Ovis aries: one gene and its partners. The protein of the gene in region 1 purifies or fractionates together with the protein of each later gene. This does not show direct contact. Links are inferred from orthologs where the notes say so. Each region holds a gene or a part of one and is shown on either strand. Other genes may lie near its edges.

What was found.
Region 2: the proteins of SLC39A12 (region 1) and NAT14 purify together in Homo sapiens (co-immunoprecipitation; 3 studies listed by BioGRID and IntAct, counting the BioPlex papers as one, with this or other methods). This does not show direct contact. The link is inferred for Ovis aries from reciprocal best matches to the Homo sapiens genes SLC39A12 and NAT14.
Region 3: the proteins of SLC39A12 (region 1) and ABHD12 purify together in Homo sapiens (co-immunoprecipitation; 3 studies listed by BioGRID and IntAct, counting the BioPlex papers as one, with this or other methods). This does not show direct contact. The link is inferred for Ovis aries from reciprocal best matches to the Homo sapiens genes SLC39A12 and ABHD12.

The regions. Positions count from the first base shown.
Region 1 is NC_056066.1:31,767,782-31,774,196, forward strand, and holds the start of SLC39A12 (zinc transporter ZIP12), read left to right. Parts: upstream 1-2,375; 5' UTR 2,376-2,467; intron 2,468-3,763; 5' UTR 3,764-3,836; coding exon 3,837-4,097; intron 4,098-6,415. UniProt on the Homo sapiens protein: Uniporter that promotes Zn(2+) import from the extracellular space to the cytoplasm across the cell membrane. The transport activity is temperature dependent. May play a role in neurulation and neurite extension.
Region 2 is NC_056067.1:62,803,232-62,809,414, forward strand, and holds NAT14 (probable N-acetyltransferase 14), read right to left. Parts: upstream 3,877-6,183; 5' UTR 3,805-3,876; intron 3,404-3,804; 5' UTR 3,360-3,403; coding exon 3,288-3,359; intron 3,039-3,287; coding exon 2,943-3,038; intron 2,518-2,942; coding exon 1,969-2,517; 3' UTR 1,369-1,968; downstream 1-1,368. Other genes in the region: soluble scavenger receptor cysteine-rich domain-containing protein SSC5D, read right to left, coding at 391-415; ZNF628 (zinc finger protein 628), read right to left, coding at 4,663-6,183. UniProt on the Homo sapiens protein: Probable acetyltransferase. May act as a transcription factor that regulates the expression of coproporphyrinogen oxidase by binding to a promoter regulatory element.
Region 3 is NC_056066.1:42,426,906-42,433,331, forward strand, and holds the start of ABHD12 (lysophosphatidylserine lipase ABHD12), read right to left. Parts: upstream 3,914-6,426; 5' UTR 1-3,913. Other genes in the region: ANKRD16 (ankyrin repeat domain-containing protein 16), read left to right, coding at 4,505-4,824.

The DNA of each region.
Region 1 (6,415 bases):
ATGATGTACTCTGCATATAAGTTAAATAAGCATGGTGACAATATACAGCTTTGACATACTCCTTTTCCTTTTCCTAGGAAAAGGAATACAGAGGAGCTCCATAGGTAACAATCCATGGGACTGCGAAAGAGTTGGACAGGACTTAGTGACTAAACAACAACTTATCAGGAAATACTGCAACAGATGAAACTATTTCCAAATTAGTAAACCCTTGTAAATCCTTGTAAATGTCAACTAGGAGTCAATGAACTCCTTCTTTGTACATAAAGGGGGTTAATTTACACCTGAAACTCATTATCCCCAGAGACTGGTTTGGATTGCAAATATAACCATGCTTAAGCAAGGTTGATTTCAGGCTTGTTGGGGAAGCAGGCAGGTTGGGGATGAAGAGTTAAGAGCTATAACCCAGATCAGATGAAGAAAGCAACACCTCACTGTTCGGCCAAGTGCTTCCTCCTTCTTCCTTGGGATCTGCCTGCCTTCCACCTTCCTCCAAGGCTTCTCCTTGCCCCTCCTAATGGCTGTCTCACTCTGAGGCAGGAAAAGAAATCTGGTCGGTGGCTGACTTATGTATGATTCTGAGGGGAGAGCAAGCCTCCAGGCAAATGATACAGACTGTAACCTGAGGGAAAAGTTCACTTAGTTTACAGCCACTTAGCTCCTGGGTGGCCTGGTTGAGGTGCTGGGATCAGCTGAGACTAGTAATGGGTGTTTGAGAATTCCTGCAGGAGGTAACTTGCTGGGGCTGTAAAAGGCGCGGATCCCTAGCCACAGGGCACCTGAGACTAGGAAACATAGGACTTCAGGCTGGATATCCCTCTGGGAATCAGGAGAAAGATCTCAAAGTTCCAGCAGGGGGCGCTCCCCCAGGACCACTTCATAGCCAGTCAAGATGCAGCTCTGCTTTAACCTGGAAAATTATACGGAGGGACTTGGGCTGGGAGGGCCGATCTGGGGATCTGATGATTGGAAGTGGACCAGGAAGCAAGGGCTTAATTCCAGAAATAAGGCAAAGCTGAAGTTCTGAAAAGCAGCAGGAGACAAGAGGACTGGATAATTCGCTCAGTAGACTTTGGGCTACTTAGATACCGGCTCACCGAGTCCCTGAGACTGAGATGGGGCAGAGCCTACAAATGATGCTCAGGTGGTTCCCGTTGCTGGGTGGGCAGTAGGTCGGGAGCAGGAGCTTGCGGGGAGCTTTGCCCAAGGTGCCCTCTCTGGTCCGGAGTCCATTTCCTGTTCTGCATCCACCTCCACGGCTGGAAGGTCTTGACCACCTCCTCACTCCTCTGTTGGACGCATGGTTTTGGACTCTTACTTCAGGAATATCTTCCCACAGATGTCGAGAGATACAGGCCATGGCCCTTCCCCTGACAGTTTAGATAAATCTTGAGTGTTCCCTGATGTGTAGGTCAAGAGCAGCTGGGCGTTTTCTGGAAGCGTTGGCCGTCCCTATTTCTAACAGGCTTACCAGCATTGTCCTAGGATCATTTCCCTCTTGTTCCCAATCTTCATATCCAATGAACGTTTGAGAACAATTATCTCACCTTCTTTGTTTTTTGCCTTGGTCTCCCTCCCCAACCACCACCTCAGAACCCAACTCAAAAATCCCTCTCCTTTTCCTGCGTTTTTCAGATTCATTTTGTGTCTCTGGAGCCTCTGTGCTCTTTCCATGTCCACTTTGAAATCTTGGGTTTTTAACTTCTCTTACCGCCTATAAAATTTACCGCATTTGTTCTTTCAGTCATTTATTCCCTAATAAGTTAGTGAGAGCTCGTTTCACAGCACCGGAGGGCATGATGTAATTACTTCTAACACAGACTCTGAGATCAGAATATACACAGCTAATTAAAGTTTCCCTCTTGAGTCCCAGGTAAGAATTTCCTCTAGCAAATGCTTTTTTTTTTTTTTTTTTTTTTTGAAACATGGACTTAAGAACGCCTGAAATTGTTTAAAATCCTGTACCTTATAAAATAAAGTTCTAATGAGCCTGTCTTTTTTTTTTTTTTTAACAGATCCTTGGTTTGAGTGTGGATAAAGCAGTTATCACAAAATCATCTGAGAAATAAAAGAAATCTTGATTTAACATGAAAACCTTTCCATTCTGTAAGTGAACTCATTTGACCTAGATCTATCCTTTAAAGGGCAAGTGGCTGTAAGAAATTCTAAGGTTGTTCTCAGAATTCTAAGACAATTGGTAAATATTGATATAAAAAGTTGGGTTCATTAGCGACCCCGATTTGATTTTCCTGAAAATTGGCCAGACAGAAAGTTCTCGCTTTTATGCACCTTCATTGTTACTCTCCATAGCAACTGAAAACTTTTCTGGGCTGAAATAATCCTCTCTAGCTCCCAGCGCACAGTCAAGGAATTTTAAAAACAGAGGACTTTGTAACCACGAAATACCCTCCAAGATTTAAAAGGCCACAGAGCTCCAGATAAATAATCATTTATCTTTCTTCTGAAGGTAAGCACTGGGTTTAGAAATGTTTGTATCATCCTCTGTCATTTTTTAAATGCTAACATAAGAATCTTAAACTTGCTCTCTCTTTTTAAACCATAAAAGTAATCCTAGTATTTTTGTTACTACCCCACAGCCATTTTAGCTCATCTCTGAGCCAAGGTCTGCCATGAGATGCTGTTAACATTTTGCATTCCTTAAGCAATCGGTTGAAGAGATTAATATTTTTTTTCCAGAAAGCTGATTGGCTCTCAAGTCGTCCTTTTCACTTCTGTAGTAAGCCCCAAATATGTGGATTTATCATGCTTCACGTGGACTTGAAACTCTCTTGTTTTTCTAAGATAGTTCGTACTTTTAATCAGCTGAAAACTAACCAGTAGTTCTGCACATTACTGTTTTCGTCCTTTCCTTTTTGAAAATCTTCTAACTCAGTGTGATATCTGTAATGTATTCAATTTATTTTCTGTTTACTTTTATTGACTTACTTTACTAAAGAGGCCCATAGATCAATGGGTTAAAATGAGGCTGTTTCCTGTTGGAGGTGTGGAGAGATAAAGAGTTTGGGATTAACATATATACACTACTGTACATACCGTAGGTAAACAACAAGAATTCCTACTATATAGCATAGGAAACTATAGTCAATATCTTATAATAACCTAAAATAAGAATCTGAAAAAATGTATATGTATAACTGACTCGCTTCCCTGTACACTTGCAACTAATACAGCGTTGTAAATCACCTATACCTCAATTTAAAAATGGAGAGTGTTTCCTGCTCTTTTTAAAAAATTGAAGTATAGTTGCTATGCAATGTGTTAGTTTCTGCTTTACAACAAAGTGAATCAGCTGTAAGTATAGATATATTCCCTTCCCTCTTGAGCCTCCTTCCCTCAGCCCGCTTCCCCACCCACCCATCTAGATCATCACAGAGCACTGAGCTGAGCTCTGTGTGCTATATCACAGCTTCCCACTAGTTATCTTTTCATACATCTGGGTTTTATGACTTGTAGCACCGTTAGGACAGACAGTGAAGTGTATTCTTCCTATCTTTTGACTCTCTGTGTAGTTCCCAGAGAAGCAATATAACTCACTTCTTGGCTGTTGAACGGGTTGAAAGTCTAAACCCACCATAGTTTCCTGCCAGTGGGGGTTAGGAACAACCTACAGATCCCCTGTTGTTTAGAAACAGCTTGTCATTGCCAATCTGCTTAGCCACCCAGTTAATGAATCTTTTCAAACCTCTTGCAAGCACAATAATTAAAGCCTTCATTTTCCCCCTTTCCACTGACATTCCTCCAGCTACAAGTTGACACCGTGAACACCAACCCATCCTCCTCCATCAAAGCAGACTTGGGGTAGAGGAAGAGTGGAAATGTGCTTCTGGACAAAGCCTTCTGTATCCTGGGTGCCCTTGTTCCTTCTACTCAGCCTTGATCCCTCTACTGAGACGGAAAAACCCTCTACTCCGGACAGCAGCAGTACTTGGAGTCCAGGGCGGCTGACAGAAGTTCTACGGGTTCTCTCTGCTGATGACCCCCGTCCCCTGAACCACTCAAGAAGCCTCATCAGAACATTGCTGGAGAAAACTGGGTGCCCACGGAGGACAGACGGAAGGCAAGGAGACTGCAATCTGGTTAGTGTGATAGAATGGGATCAGGGACTGAGCGTGTTCACAAGAGCCATGCATTTCCCAGGCACTTATTTCAAGAAAGCAAAATCAGACGCAAACCTTCCAATATCTGAGTGACCAATGCATTACGGTATAATAACTCCCATATACCAGATCATACAGTATTCTGCATATGGCATTTAAAGACATGGAGAGCTTGTTTATATTAAAATGATAATAAGCCTTCTATAAGCCTTGCTACAACCCTTCTGCAGGCTTAGAAGTATAGTTCCCTCTTCTTTCTGACTTAATCCTTTTTATTGCAGTCACCTTGAATGTGATTGGTTATATAGATGCTGCTTGTTTTCTGAGGTAAATCCATCCACTATTTGCCTAACATTGCATTTTTAAGTACTTTCTCCTCAATATCAGTAGGTGTGTTTTAAGATTTTATATCATGGGGATTTAATGAATTGGATGATTGTCTTCTTAAAAATGGGAATCTGAGCTGGGGAAGGGAAGTGCTATCAGCGGGGCTGAAATGAGATCCAGGGTCACAGAGGCCCATTTTCCAGCCATTTCCTAGTCTATTAAGTGACTCTCAAACCCTGGCTATCCATCAGCATCACCTGGCCAGGCTTCACAAAATACCCAGGTTGCAATTTTCTTCTCCAAACATCAATATTTCACTTGCCCAGGAATGTTTAAAAACAATCTCTGCAAGGCACATTAATGTAAAATCAGAATTAATGTAAAAATCAACATTTAATGTAAAATCAGAATGCCTCCATTGGGAGAAAGGGAGTTTGACAAGAACATCCCCAGCAGTAAGAGCCTATGTTTTAAAAATGACCGCAGGGATTTCTCTGGTGGTCCAGTAGCTAAGAATCCGAGTTCCCAATGCAGGGGGCCTGGGTTTGACCCCTGGTCAGGGAACTAGATCCCACATGCCTCAACTCTTTGCTGCAACTAAAGATCCTGCATGCCACCACTATAGACCCAGCACAGCCAAATAAATAAAACATTTTTTTAAAAAAAGACTGCAAAAAGCAGACCAAAGCATTCGCAGCATCCTTTTCCTGACTGATTAGATTTTTTTCAGAATGACCTCACAAATAAGTAAGTAAATAAATGAAGACATGACTAAACAAGAGAAGCAAAATCATTTCCACCCAGAATAAGTTTTGGCAGATTTTCTCAATCACACTTAGTTCTGAGGGAAACATTTCCTGGCCAAGTGTTTTGTTTTTTGTTTTTCATGACAGAAGGGTCTGGCTAACAGAATTTTTCTCTGCTCTGTGCAAACAATAAATAATTCAATAATTAGTAAAACTCCCAAGGGTTCCCAGAGAAAACATGTGTTGTGAGAGGCAGCTCATCTGTGATGACATTAATTTATATATATAGCAACAGAAGACTTCCCACCGGAAATAACTAGGAGTCATATCTTATTAATGTCCTCTGAGAATTTGCTTCAGAGAAATGTTCTCCTCTAACAACATGAAGTGCCTTATTAAGGCTGGTCGAGTATTAGTTTAGCAGGGTAAGGGGAGGATGTAAACAGGCAAGACTGTTCTCCATTTTTGGAGGGGGGTGGAATAGGTTGTTTTGTACATTTTTGTTTTGTTTTGTTTTCTGTGATATTAACAGGTGTTTGGCCAATTTAGCTTCTGTTTGAATTAATTCTTATTCCTAGGAAGTGAAACACTGTAACACCTTTCCTCTCCTGCTGCTGCTATTTCTTTTTCTAAGAGACTAAAGTTGGGGGAAGAAAAGAGGCAAATCTCTGCTTCACCTCCTCAGAAGGATCTAGTTTACCCAAACACCCATGATCTAAGCAAGGAGTCCATGAAATCTGTGTTCATTCACACACATAAAAAAAACAAACTCCCTGATTTAGCAAATATCCACATTCTGTGCAAATCACAAATCTTCATCTTGTTATTGAATTTTTTTTTTTAATCTTTTTAGGGAGTTTATCCATTGAGAGGGTGCCTATCAGAAGGAGAGGGCAAGGGGATGAGATCATGTCCTTAAATGTCTAAAAAAAGAGATCAGAGTGTATCTTGAATGTGTGGGGAGGAAATCAGTTCCATTTTATTTCAGATCTTGGTAAAAACTGAATTTTTTAAAAAAAACTGAAGTTTTTGAGAGTACTGTGTTTTAAAATAAATCCATTCAAGCTGCTGTCTTTGAAAAATAGACACTCTTGCCTGATTGTGGCTTTTTTTTCTTTTAATGAGAAGAGTGAGAACAGGGTCTTAATACATTCAATGAGGGATTAAGTAACTCCAAAAGAATGGATTGCACTTAAGTAATGATGAGAACCGTGACCCTGCTTG
Region 2 (6,183 bases), on another chromosome or scaffold:
CTTGGGCCCAGCGCCTGGCCGAGGCCCAGGTCCTTGGGATGGGTGGAGCCCGGAGGCCTCAGGTCTGGGCAGGGGGCCAGGCCCTTGGCTCTCCCCACTGGGGGCCTGGCTAAAGGTGAATGATGGGTGAACCCCCTCTGCAGGGTCAGGGCTCATGGAGGGGAGAGGAAGTCCTGGGGTCTCCTGAGAAGGTGGGACTCAGGGTGCCTGAGGCCAGGTCCCTGGAGGATCAGTCAGAGGCAGCCAGATGTCCTGTGCTCCCCCACATCCCCCCCACCAAGCAACAGGGACGGGGCCCTGGAACTCAGAGGCTCTGCAGTGGGTCAGCTCAGGGGTCAGAGGGCCCGGCCCGGGGACCCTGAGTCCCGGAGGAGGGGAAGGGTCACTCACCGAGGAGGCAGGCCAGGACCCTCATGTTTGCAGAGTCAGGGTGGGGACAGGGTGGAAGTGGACGGGAGCAGGAGCTAGGAGGAGGGGACCGCCGACGCAGGAGGGAGGGGAGCGCCTGCCAGAGGAGCCCTGGACCCGGGGAGGAGCGGGCGGGGGCTGGACGCTCTGCAGGAGGAAGAGAGGCTGCCGAGGAGGCAGCAGGGGACAGGAGCGGGGCGGGGAGGGGGCTGGCCGGCGGCTGAGGCCTGTGGAGGAGGGCGGTGGAGGGCGGGAGGGAGGGTGTCCAACTGCAGACACCCACACAGGAGACAGCCGGCTGGCCAGAAGTGCCGCACTCAGGCTTGGGGGGCAGCAGGCTGCAGGGGAGGATCCTGACAGGGTGCGAGGGCGGGGCGCCCACCCATCTGCTGCTTCTCCTGTCCCGCCAGGGTGGTGTGCCGGAAGCAGAGGGCTTTGAGGGTGGGCTCACATCAGCTGCCGGGTTGGGGACCTGGTGCAGCAAGAGGGCTTGCAGGCAGACACCAGGAAGGACTTCCTGGACTGGGAAAGGAGACAGAGAGACTCCCTTCTCCATTCCCCCTGGTGGATTTGCAGGCAGAAGTCATCAGCCCTCTGTGTGTCTCCCAAGAAAACTGGGGTCAGGGGTCGAGAGGGCCAAGGGTCAAGACTTGGGTGGGGGAGGACGACTGCACACACACACACACACACACACAACACACACACACACGCACAGGAACGTACTCTTTCTCTCTCTCTCTCTGCACTAAGCAGCTGTGAGGCGGAAAAAATTCGGTAATGGGGAGCGTGAGTCAGAGGGCTGGCAGGGAGCTGGGCTGCCTGAGCTCATCGCCTCCCCTGCCCCCAGTCCAGCACACTCCCCCCTCCCGACAATTACTGTCAACCTCGGGAAGGAGGGGCCAGACAGAAATGGTGGGTGTGGAGGCAGACTGGAAAAGGCATCAGAGAGAGATGGCGAGCAGCGGTTACAGGCTTTATTAACAAACGGGTGTAAAAAACCAGATGGGTCTGGCCGCCCCTCTGGGCTCCCACCTTCCTGGGGAGGGGCTGGGCAGGCAGCCCTGTGCCCACCACCCCCTCCCCGGGGCTCTCTCCAGGCAGACAACACTCCCCTGCAGAAGCTTTGCTCAGCCCCTCTCTGCCTCTGCAGCCTCACCCCTTCCAAGCATGGGCATCGCCCCCCACCCTACCTCCCCGGGGCTGAGGGGGGCCCTCGTCCCTGTTTGGGGTACCCCTGCCAAGTCCTAACCCCAGTGGGGGGCGTACTTGCTCGGCCTCCTCTCCTGCCACATGTCATAGCACAAGCAACACAGGCTTGGCAGACAGACAGATAAGATTTCTCTGCGCAGACAGAATCTGAGGCAGGGGTTGGACGGGTTGAACTCTCTAAGAAGTTCAAACACTATGGATGGGCATCAGGCTGTGGCAGGGTCTCTTGCCCTCTGCGGGCCTCAGCTGCTGGGCCCTGGCGGGGGGGGGGGGGGGTAAGGATGGTGTGGAAGTGCCTGCACACAGCAGGTGCTCACTAAGTGCTGCTTTTCCTCCTGCTAGGGTCTGCAGTCACAGTTCCTTGCTGAACTCGCGCACCAGCGTGTAGCCCATGCAGCCCCAGCTCCGCTCGGCCTGGTAGCCACAGCCCTCCAGCATCCCGGCCACGCCCCAGGCTGCCACGGCCACCGGGACCACCAGGCGCGCCCGGGGTTCCCCCATGCCGCCAGCCCAGGCTCGCGCCCGGGACTCGGCAAAGGCCAGCAGGCGCCTGCCTACGCCTCGGCGGCGGTGCCAACGGGATACCGAGAGGCGGGTGACCCGGGCCCCATCCCCAGCACCGGTGCCTGGGGCCAGGGCCAGGACCCCACACACGTCCCCCGAGCCCCGGACTGCCACCCACGGCCCCCCGAGGCCGCCGGGCGGGGGCAGCGAGCCCCAGCGGGCCCGCAGGCCCAGCTTCATGGCCGCCACAGCCAGGAACACGGGCAGGAGGAGGGCCAGGGCGAAGGAGGCCAGGACGAAGCGAAGGCCGCTGCTGGCCGCAGCCAGGAGGAGCAGGGCCGGCGGCCGGGTCAGTGCATGAAGGGCCACGCGGTTCTCTGTGTCCTTCACGCCAGCCTGCGGGCAGGAGGAGCAGTCAGCGTGGGGGAGGCAGGCAGTGGGGGCGGAGGCAGGCCCTGCCTGGGGTGGGAGCAATCGGAGGGGAGGGGACAGCAGTGAGCCGGGGCCTGTGGCAAGCTTGCCGTGGCGTGAACACACTGCTGGCTGGCACACTGGGCTCTGAATGAGGGAGCTGGTGAATTAGGAACGGTGGGCGCTCCGGGTTCAGTGGAGTTGCAGGCGTGAGGCAACAGGGGAGACTGGACAGAGGCGCGGCCCCACCGAGCGGGGAAGCTGGAAGGGCCTGGGGGTCCTCGAGGGCCAGGCTTGGAGGAGGAGGAGGCCGGGGCACAGGGCTGAGGGGAAGTGAGGAGATGGAAGGGCTTGTACTGCGCGGGTTACGGCTTGGATCCATGATCGGGGAGCACTACCATCCCGCGTACCATGTGGCGTGGCCACACACACACACCCAAAACCGTTCTCAATCTCCAGGTTAGGGAGAAGGCACTAGAAAGAGGAGGGTCCAAGGCTGGAAGTGCCTTAGGAGCAAAAGATTGATTTCCAGGGTCACCGCTGGCTCAGGAGGGTGGCTGAAGCCACTCGGGATGCCCCCCCGCCCCCTCCCGGGCTCCCTGGTGCCCCTCATTCTGTCCCCGCCCTCCCAAGCTCATTGGTGTCCCCATTCTGTCCCCGCCCCTCCCGGGCTTTCTAGGTTCCCGCCCCCCACCCCCAAGTGGTACCCTCCGTCCCACGCCCCCGGGCTCAGTGGCGCTGCTAATGACTCTCACCTTCAGCATTTCCAGCACTAAGGGTTTTTCATCTTCCCTCATCTCCCGCACCGACAGGTGGCTGGGGGCCATGGCAGCCCCCAGGCTCCCGCGCCCCCAAAGGAGCAGGCGTGCACCTGGCGAAAACAAGCAGGTCAGTGTCAGGAGGGCACCTCTTGTTCCCCAAAGTGCCCCAGAGCTGCGGGCCAGCAGCGGCAGCGTGTCCAGGTCAGGAAGCGGGATGCTGGCGGCCTCCAGGCGAGGCCCGAGACAGAACAGGCTTCCCGGTCAACCCAGCGACCTTCCGAAAGCCTCTCGGGTGAAGCCCTCGCCCCAGGCGGTATTCGGCGACCCACGCCTAAAAGCCTGGTGCCCGCCAACACCTGCCAACAGCGCGCTGCCTCCAGGCCCCGCAGCTGCCCTGGGGGTAAGTGAACCCCCCCCAGCCAGGGAAAGGACCGCGCTCCCCGCTCCCAGGGCCTCTGCCCCCGGCCGCCCCCGAGCGGCGCCTGTGGCAGGAACGAGGACTTTCAGACACCTCTGTGGGTCGCTCCGGCTTTTAACAAGATGCGGGGGGTGGCAGGGTCGGGGAGGGGTCGCCGGCGGAAGTGACGTCAGACCCGCGCGCTGGGAGCGGGGCGGTGCCTGCTCTCGGCCTTAGCAACCGTTGCCAAGCGTCCGGCCTGACGGGTTAGAGCCGGGAGGAGCGGCGGAGAGAGCTGGCGTGCGGGACGCTGGCAGGGGAGGGGGCCGGACTGAAGGGCCTGGAACTATAGACCGGCTGTGGGCGGGCAGCGGGGCTTACCCAGCGCGCGCCCCGGCCGGCTTCCCGAAGGCCTCTGGTTGCTAAGCGACCTGAGCGCGGGGGTGAGGCCGCGAAGGCGGCTTGATTCCCACTGGCTCCCCGGCTTTCGCGGGCGGGGCCGCGACAGCGTCTCAGACCCACAGGTTCCCCACCTGCCCACCAGGGCTCTCAGTGACCGTTGGGATAAGCAGTCCCGCCATCCACCTATTTTTCTGCACGAGGAGGGGTGCAGTGACTTACAGAGGAAGTGGCAGAACCGGGGTTCCAGATTCCAGCGCCTCCCCCATACCGTGACTGTTGCGTCCCTTTTCTTAAAAAATGGATAAACAGGGCCCCCACAAAGGAGCAGCGGCTGGCCCCAAGACGCAAAGTCACCTGCGAACCAGGAAGCAGGGGACCCCACCAGTTCCCAAGTGGTGGCTATGGGCATGACATTGACCTCCCACCCCATCAATAAGAAGAAAAAACACGAGAGGGGATTCTGGTCTTTATTTGCAAGCCCAGCCTGCAGCTCCCTCCGCCCAGCCCAGCCCAGGCGGCGATGGGGTGGGGGCCTCTTCGTGGGGCGGGAAGAGATACCCGTGGTCCGACTCAAAACGTGTGCACCAGCTGGACCGCGGGCAGAGTCTGGACAATCTGGATGGAAGGCAGGCCCTGTGGGGCCACGCCCCCGGGTGCCGCTCCTGCGGGGACCACTTGTACCATCTGGGGGCCCGGGGCCGCAGGGACGCCCGCAGGAGCAGAGGCTGGGCCAGGTGGGGGGGGCGCCAGTAGCTGCAGCGCAGCGGCGCCTCCCCCAGCGCTGCCGTTCTCCAGCAACTCTGCGGCTGGGGCGCTGCGGATAATGAGCAGCTTCTGTCCGGGCGGGCCTGAGGCGGGCGGCTCGGCCAGACCCGACGGTAAGGTCTCTACCTCCTGCACACACAGCTGGGTCTGCTCCCCGTCGGCCCCGCTCAGCACCAGCACGCTCTGCAGTCCCTCCTCCGTCTGCAGCGTCTCAAAGAGCACATCTGGGACTACCCCCGGGCCGGCCTCGCCCTCGCCAGGCTCCACTGGGCCGGGGTCCGCCAGTAACTCCTCAGCTGCCCCGCTCTGAACCACTAGCAGATTAGGCGCCTCGGTGGTCACGGCTCCCCCGCTGGAACTGGACAGCGGACCCGTCACAGGCTGGAGCTGGACCGTGGTCACCTCCTGGGCCGGCTGGAGTTGGACGGTGGTCAGTTCCGGGGCTGGACGAAGGGGCTGGAGCTGAACCCCACTCACTTCCTGTGGGCCTGTTTCCCCACCCGCCACGTTCTGCAGAACTATGAGGCTCTGCCCTCCCACGTTCCCCGCAGCGTTGCTTCCTCTCTGCACTCCTAACCCCCCAGGGCCCGGCAGCCAGACTACTCCAGCCCCCGGCCCAGCTTTCCCCGCGGCCCGCGGGCCTTGCCGGGCGCAGCTGCCTCCCCCGGCGGGGCCGGAGGAGGGCAGCAGGATGAGCTTGGGGGGTGCTGGCGGGGGCGGGGGCGTGGGCGGCTGGACGCTGCTGGGAATCAGCTGCAGGCCCTGAGCCGTCTGCACCAGGAGAAAAGTCTGCGAGTTGGGAGCGGCGGGGCCGGGGGCCGCGGCCGGGGCCGTCCCCCCAGCCACCTCTAGGGAGAGCGTGGCCTGGAGGTGGGGGAGGACGTGCACATCCTGGGTGGCCGACGGGGCAGGGGCGGCGGCCAGCGGGGCCGGGGGCTGAGGGCCGGCCGCGGGGGCCGCGGGGGCATGCGTCCTCAGGTGCCGCTGCAGGTAGGCAGCCATGACGAAGCTGCGGCCGCAGACCGGGCAGGTGAAGGGCCGCTCGGCCGAGTGCGTGCGCTGGTGCAGCAGCAGGTTGGAGGAGTGCGTGAAGGTCTTGGGGCAGAGCGGGCAGCGGAAGGGCCTCTCGCCCGTGTGCACGCGCTGGTGCTGCCGCAGGTTGGAGGTCTGCGCGAAGCTTTTGCCGCACACGCCGCAGGCGTGGGGCCGCTCGCCCGTGTGCACGTGCCGGTGGCGGCGCAGGCATGACGTGTTGCGGAAGGCCTTGCCGCACTCGCCGCAGGCGTAGGGCCGCTCGCCCGAGTGTAGCCGCAGGTGGTACTGGTA
Region 3 (6,426 bases), about 11 Mb from region 1:
CCTGTTGGGACACTAATGACTCAGAGTTTCAAAGAGGATTAAACAATATGAGAGCTATGGCTATAATAGCATTAAACAAAACACAATTTAAGTCAAAAATTTTAGAAGAGACAAAGAAGAAGATTATAAAATAATAAAAGGATCAATTCACCAAGAAGATATAACAATTATAAATATGCACATACCAAATAGCAGAGCTCCTAAAACTAGGAAGCAAACACTGACAGAACTGAAGAGAGAAACAGATAACAGGATAATAACAGGAGACTTCAATATTCCACTTTCAAGAATGGATAGAACAAACAACACTAGATCAACTGGACCTGACAGACATATAATGAACACTCCACCCAACAATATATAATCTTTGCGAGTACACACAGAACATTCTCCAGGATAGATCCCATGCAAGGCCACGAAAGAAGTCTTAACACATTTTAAAAGACTGAAATTATAGAAAGTATGTTTTTCAATCAGTAAGAATGAAACAAGAAATCAGTAGTGGAAAGAAAGCTGGAAAACTCACAAATATGTGAAAATTAAAAACAAAAACATTTTTTAAAGCAACCAATGAGTCAAAAGGAAATCACAAAGAAATTAGAAAATACCTTGAGACAAATAAAAATACAGATACCAAAATATATGGGATGAAATGCAAGCAATGCTAACCAGTTAATAGCTATAAACACTTACATTAAAAAATAAGAAAGATCACAGCAACTTCCCTGGTGGTCCAGTGGCTAAGACTCCAAGCTTTCAATGAAGGGGGCCAAGGTTCAATCCCTGGTCAGGGAGCTAGATCCCATGTGCTGCAACTAAGACTCTGTGCAGCCAAATCATAAATAAATAAACTTATTTTTAAAAAATAAGAAATATCACACATCAGCAAGCTAACTTTACACCTAAAAGAACTAGAAAAAGAACAAACTAAACCCAAAGCTAGCAGGAAGGAGGAAATAATAAAGACTATCAAGCAGAAATAAATGAAATAGAAAATTTTAAAAATGTGGAAAAATTAATAAAACTAAAAATTTTATTTTTTAAAAACAAAATTGACAACTCTTAGATATATAGTGGAAAAAGGGAAGATCTGAATAACTAAAATCAGAAATGAAAAGGAAACGTTACAACTGATGTCACAGAAATAAGAACGGTTGTAAGAATACTTCAAACAACTGAAGGCCAATCAAACGGATAACCTAGAAGAAATGCATAAATCCTTAGGAACACACAACCTACCAAGACTGAATCATGGAGATACAGAAAATCGGAACAGACCAATAATGAGTAAGGAGACTGAATCAGTCATCAAAAGCCTCCCCAAAAGGAACAGTCCAGAAACATATTGCTTCACTGAAAAAGTTTACTGAACATTTAAAGAACTAGTATCAATCCCCCTATAACTCTTCAAAAAAAAACTGAAGACGAGGGCACACTTCCAGACTTATTCTGAAGCCAGCATAACCTTATACTGAAGCCAGACAAAGACACCACAAGAAATAAAATGAGAGCTGTAACAAGGTCATTGAAAGTGAGAGTCATTTCCTAGGCAGGTTGATAGGAAGTCTAGGGGTCCCCAAGGAGAGAGGGGTCTGGAATTCTCAAGGAGGAAGAAAGGACAAACTTTTTTTCCTTCTCTACATTCTTTAGGATTATATAACAACAATGTATTCTGCCTGAGGACAGTCTCTGGATTAAATCTTCTGGCTAATTCTGTTATCTTAAAATGTAAATTATGGGAGTAGGTCTGGTGAGGTGTTTACAACCTTCAGACATTCTTTGGATTCATTGGAAAGTATCTAACTTCATTGCTAACACTAACAAGCGGGTACTCTTTCTGCCCCCTTCTGATGTCTATGTCAGAAGCTTTCTCTATCTCCTTTATACTTTAAAAAGAGTACTGTTCTAACATTTCAGGAGGTAAAGATAAGCTGAGATACGTTCCCAAAATCTTCTCAAGCAGAGTGGAGGGAACCCTCACGCATCCCCGTTCCCATCAGAGATCTAAATTAAGTGGGTAAATTTACTGACCCAAAACAAAGTTCACAACTAAAAACAGAACAATATTTCTGTGAATGTAGGAGACAAGACCCCAAGCAAAGAATGGAGCAAGCGCGATGTGAAATTTCCTCCAAAATGTGTTGGGTTTGGAAGAGAAATGTACTGAGCCTTGACATACCCATCTTGCCCTCAATCTTTAAGGTTTTAAACTTCAATACATTTGAAGAATAGGTTAAATTCTTCACCTCTGGCTTATTGCCAATGGCCGGTCTAAGGGACATACAAGTTAAGCAGAACATTCTCACAACCTTTAGGCATGAGAACCTGGTAAGTATAATGTGAACCTGGTAAGTATAACGACAAAGGGAAAAACAGGCTGTGGGCTAATAGTACTGGGAAATCCCTTCTGAGGGCACGGGGCTGCCCTCTGTGTCATCCTCAGAAGGTACTCCTGAGACTACACACAATACTCATTCAGTAATCACCTCTTATTAATATATGTAAAATATTGGGCCTCCCAGGTGGTCTGCCTGCCAATGCAGGAGACAGAAGAGATGCGGGTTTGATCCCTGGGTGGGGATCCCCTGGTGGAGGGCATGGTAACCCACTCGTGTTCTTACCTGGAGATTCCCATGGACAGAGGAGCCTGATGAGCTATAGTCTTTAGGGTCGCAAAGAGTCGGACAGGACTGAAGCAACTTAACAACAAAATATCGTGAGATCCAATAGAGAATGCACAAACAGGACAACCAGCCCTCCAGCTATGCTCTAATAGCTCAAATGAAGGAGGAAACCTCTCTAAGACCACACCTAGAACGTGACAGGCGTGAAAGTCATTCAGTAGTGTCCGACTCTTTGAGACCCCATGGACTACACAGTCCGTGTAATTCTCCAGGCCAGAATACTGGAGCCGGTAGCCTTTCTCTTCTCCAGGGGATCTTCCCAACCCAGGGATTGAACCCAGGTCTCCCGTATTGCAGGCTGATTCTTTACCAGCTGAGCCACAAGGGAAGCCCAAGAATACTGGAGTGGGTAGCCTATCCCTTCTCCAGGGGATCTTCCCAACCCAGGGATCAAGCCGGGGTCTCCTGGATTACAGGCAGATTCTTTACCAACTGAGCTATGAGGGAAGCCCACAGAGGTATAAATCGCTATAGCGGTACAAGGAAGAGAGACAGGGTCACGTCCGCGGGATGGAGCAGAGGAGAGGTGAGACGTCCACAGAGACATGAGGGGGCCCTTTGAGCTGGTTGGACGTGGGGTGCATATCAGACCAAGCTAAGGAAGGTATCACACGGTCCACAGCCTGGAGGCAGCACATCGTTTGCTGCGGACAGAATACAGGGATGGATGGGAAAATCAACAACACGCTGAGACGCGCACAGAAAGGTCTCAGATGCTTCCAGGGGTTGGGATCTGATTCTGGAGGACAACGGGACAAGAACATTTCTGAGGAAATATTTTCTGAGGGAAATTTCTGAGGAAAGGTCACCGTCAGGAGCACGCGTTAAGCGAGGCGGCGCCGGGCACTTTTAGAGAGAACTTCAGAGAACAGGAGCGCGCTCCGGACCAGCGGATCACTGACGACCCTCCTCCAGAGAGGCACACACGCTCAGGTTCCGGGACAGTGCTTCCACCCGCAGGAAGGCAAAAATGTGAGCGGGCTGCGGGTGCGGCTCGGGGCAGGGCCCCAAGGAGCCCGCAGGGAGAGCTAGGAACGATGTCCGGACCAATGTCCTCCACTTTCTGGTCCGGAGCTCCAGGCTGCGCGCAGCGCCGCCGCAAACCGTCCTCCGCTTCGGGCCGCGCTTCCCCGGGCCGTGGGCACAACAGGCGTCCCCGAGAAGAGCAAGCCCCTGAGTAGTCCGCAGACAGTCTTCACCAGCTCCGCCTCCGCCGCCACCGCCGCAGCCGGCAGGAGAAGAGCCCGCCGGCGACACTGATAGAACGCATCCCCGGAAAATCATAGCGCGCATTCGGAGGGGTCGACTCCAGCGGCCAATCGGAATGCGCACCCTCACTCTCCCCTTACCCCGCTAGCGGGCCTCTTCTAGTCAGAGCTTCCGCTAGCGCGGAAGAGGCGAGCAGAAACTTTCCCAGAGTTCCTCGAGGCTCTGGGACCGGCGGAGGGGCCGCGGCCGGCGGGGGTGGGCGGGGTCGAGGTTGTGGGCGGAGTTGCCTGCAGGGGGCGGGATCGTGGGCGGGGACGCGCGGGTCCCACCCCGTCCCGGAAGGGCCGGAGTCGCGTGTGACCCGGGCCTTCGGCGGCAGTCCAGAGGGTTCGCCCCAAAATGAAACCAGCGCGGGCGGCGGCGTCCGCGGCGGCTTGCGGGGCGCGTGGTCAGCCAGAGACCTGAGAGTCTTGGGGGCTGGGTGCATCCGGAAGAGGGTCCCCGGGGGCTAGAGGGTCCCAGGGGAGGATCTCGAAGGCGGGCCCCGGCGGAGGCGGGGCGGGCCCGGAGGAGGGTCCTGGGCTGTCCTCGGCGAGCCTGAGCCTGCGGCCATGGCCGGGCCCGCTGACCCGCGGCGGCTGTTCCGGCTGGTGCAGGACGGCCGGCTGTGCACCCTGCGCAGGGAGCTGCGGGCGGCTGGGCACGCGGGCTGCGCGGGGCCGGCCGGGGACACCCTCCTGCACTGCGCCGCCCGCCACGGCCGCCGGGACGTCTTGGCCTATCTGGTCGAGACCTGGGACCTGGACATCGAAGCCGCCAACCGGGACTACAAGCGGCCTCTGCATGAGGCTGCCTCCATGGGCCACCGGGACTGCGTGCGGTACCTGCTGGGCCGGGGGGCCGCGGTCGACTGCCTGAAGAAGGCCGACTGGTAAGTGGTGGGCCTTGCAGAGGGCCCCCACCCCTCCCCGCTGATGGCAGATTCCCACTCTTGGTCGGCCTCCACACCGTAGCCGGTCAGCCTTCCCCTACAGAGCAGAGCATCGTTGCTGCCCTTGTGAGGTTAACTGTTGCAGCCTCCTGTTCCAGACTGCCTCCCGTGATAGAGCAGAGAGCAGTAAGGAGCATGCTGAGATAGAACAGACTCAAACTACGACTTGCCTGTAGGTACTGCGTGTTGCATGGGCCCCAGACGGGATGTTCTGGAAACATGTAGCTAAATGATTACTGCACCCATGACACTTTTTAACTTTCCGTTTTGAAATTCCTAGTTATAGCTTCTCAGAAATTTCCAAAGACAAGTGGGGAGTCCCATGCACCCTCCCCCAGTCTTGCCCCAAAGTTAACATCTTACAGGGGGTGTACAGTAATAAAAAGAAGAAACTGACATTGCTACAATCAGGACACTTACTCAGATTTCACAGTTATACAGGTGAGCACAGGTAAGTATGTGGCTTGCTCTGTGTGGTTTATCACATGACCACCTCCACAGGCACAGTGCTCACCTTTAGTCCATCAGTTCAGTTCAGTCCCTCAGTCATGTCTGACTCTTTGGGACCCCATGGACACACCAGGCTTCCCTGTCCGTCACCAACTCCCAAAGCTTGCTCAAACTCACACCCATTGAGTTGGTGATGCCATCCAATCATCTCAGCCTCTGTCGTCCCCTTCTCCTCCTGCCTTCAGTCTTTCCCAGCATCAGGGTCTTTTCCAATGAGTCAGTTCTTCACATCAGGTGGCCAAAGTTTTGGAGTTTCAGCTTCAGCATCAGTCCTTCCAATGAATATTCAGGACTGATTTCCTTTAGGATTGACTGGTTTGATCTTCTTGCAGTCCAAGGGACTGTCAAGAGTTCTCCAACACCACACCTGTAACCATCACACGAAGCAATTGCATTCTGTTAATAGATCCACATGGTTTTCAGTCCTCACTATGTCTGTCCATTTGCTTAGAGGTTTGAACACCTGAAGGTTCATAACATAATGAAATTCCTGAATGAATCCACAAGGAATCCCTGATTTTATATAAAAAAGAATTGCATCAGACAGCCATATAGCTTAATAAAGTACATCTTGCCCACTGGCGTGGGGGAATAGGCCTCCTTATAGGAGTTTTGAGGTTTGCGCTTTGGCTGTGACTAAGCACAAGACATTTTCTTCTGCTGCTAGTAAGTTGGTCTAAAGATAGTGGAGGCATATTACCTCTTTTAAAACAGTTCTGTGGAAAAAGAATAGCAAGGAGAGATAAGAAAGCCTTCCTCAGCGATCAATGCAAAGAAATAGAAGAAAATGATAGAATGGGAAAGACTAGAGATCTCTGAACTGAACTGAACTGTGGATAAAGAAACAGCCTCCCCAAACAACTATCACAAGGGCAAGTTTCATTTGACTGTGGGCTCAGGAAGTGCAGTTACAAAGAGACATTTTTGACTGTTCTCACCTTGCTGGCTTTCGCAAGTCCCTTCTTCCCTGGAGTCATTCCCTCTACGAAGCCCCTTCTTTAGGATTCCAGCCTTCATTCATCCAAGTTTCTC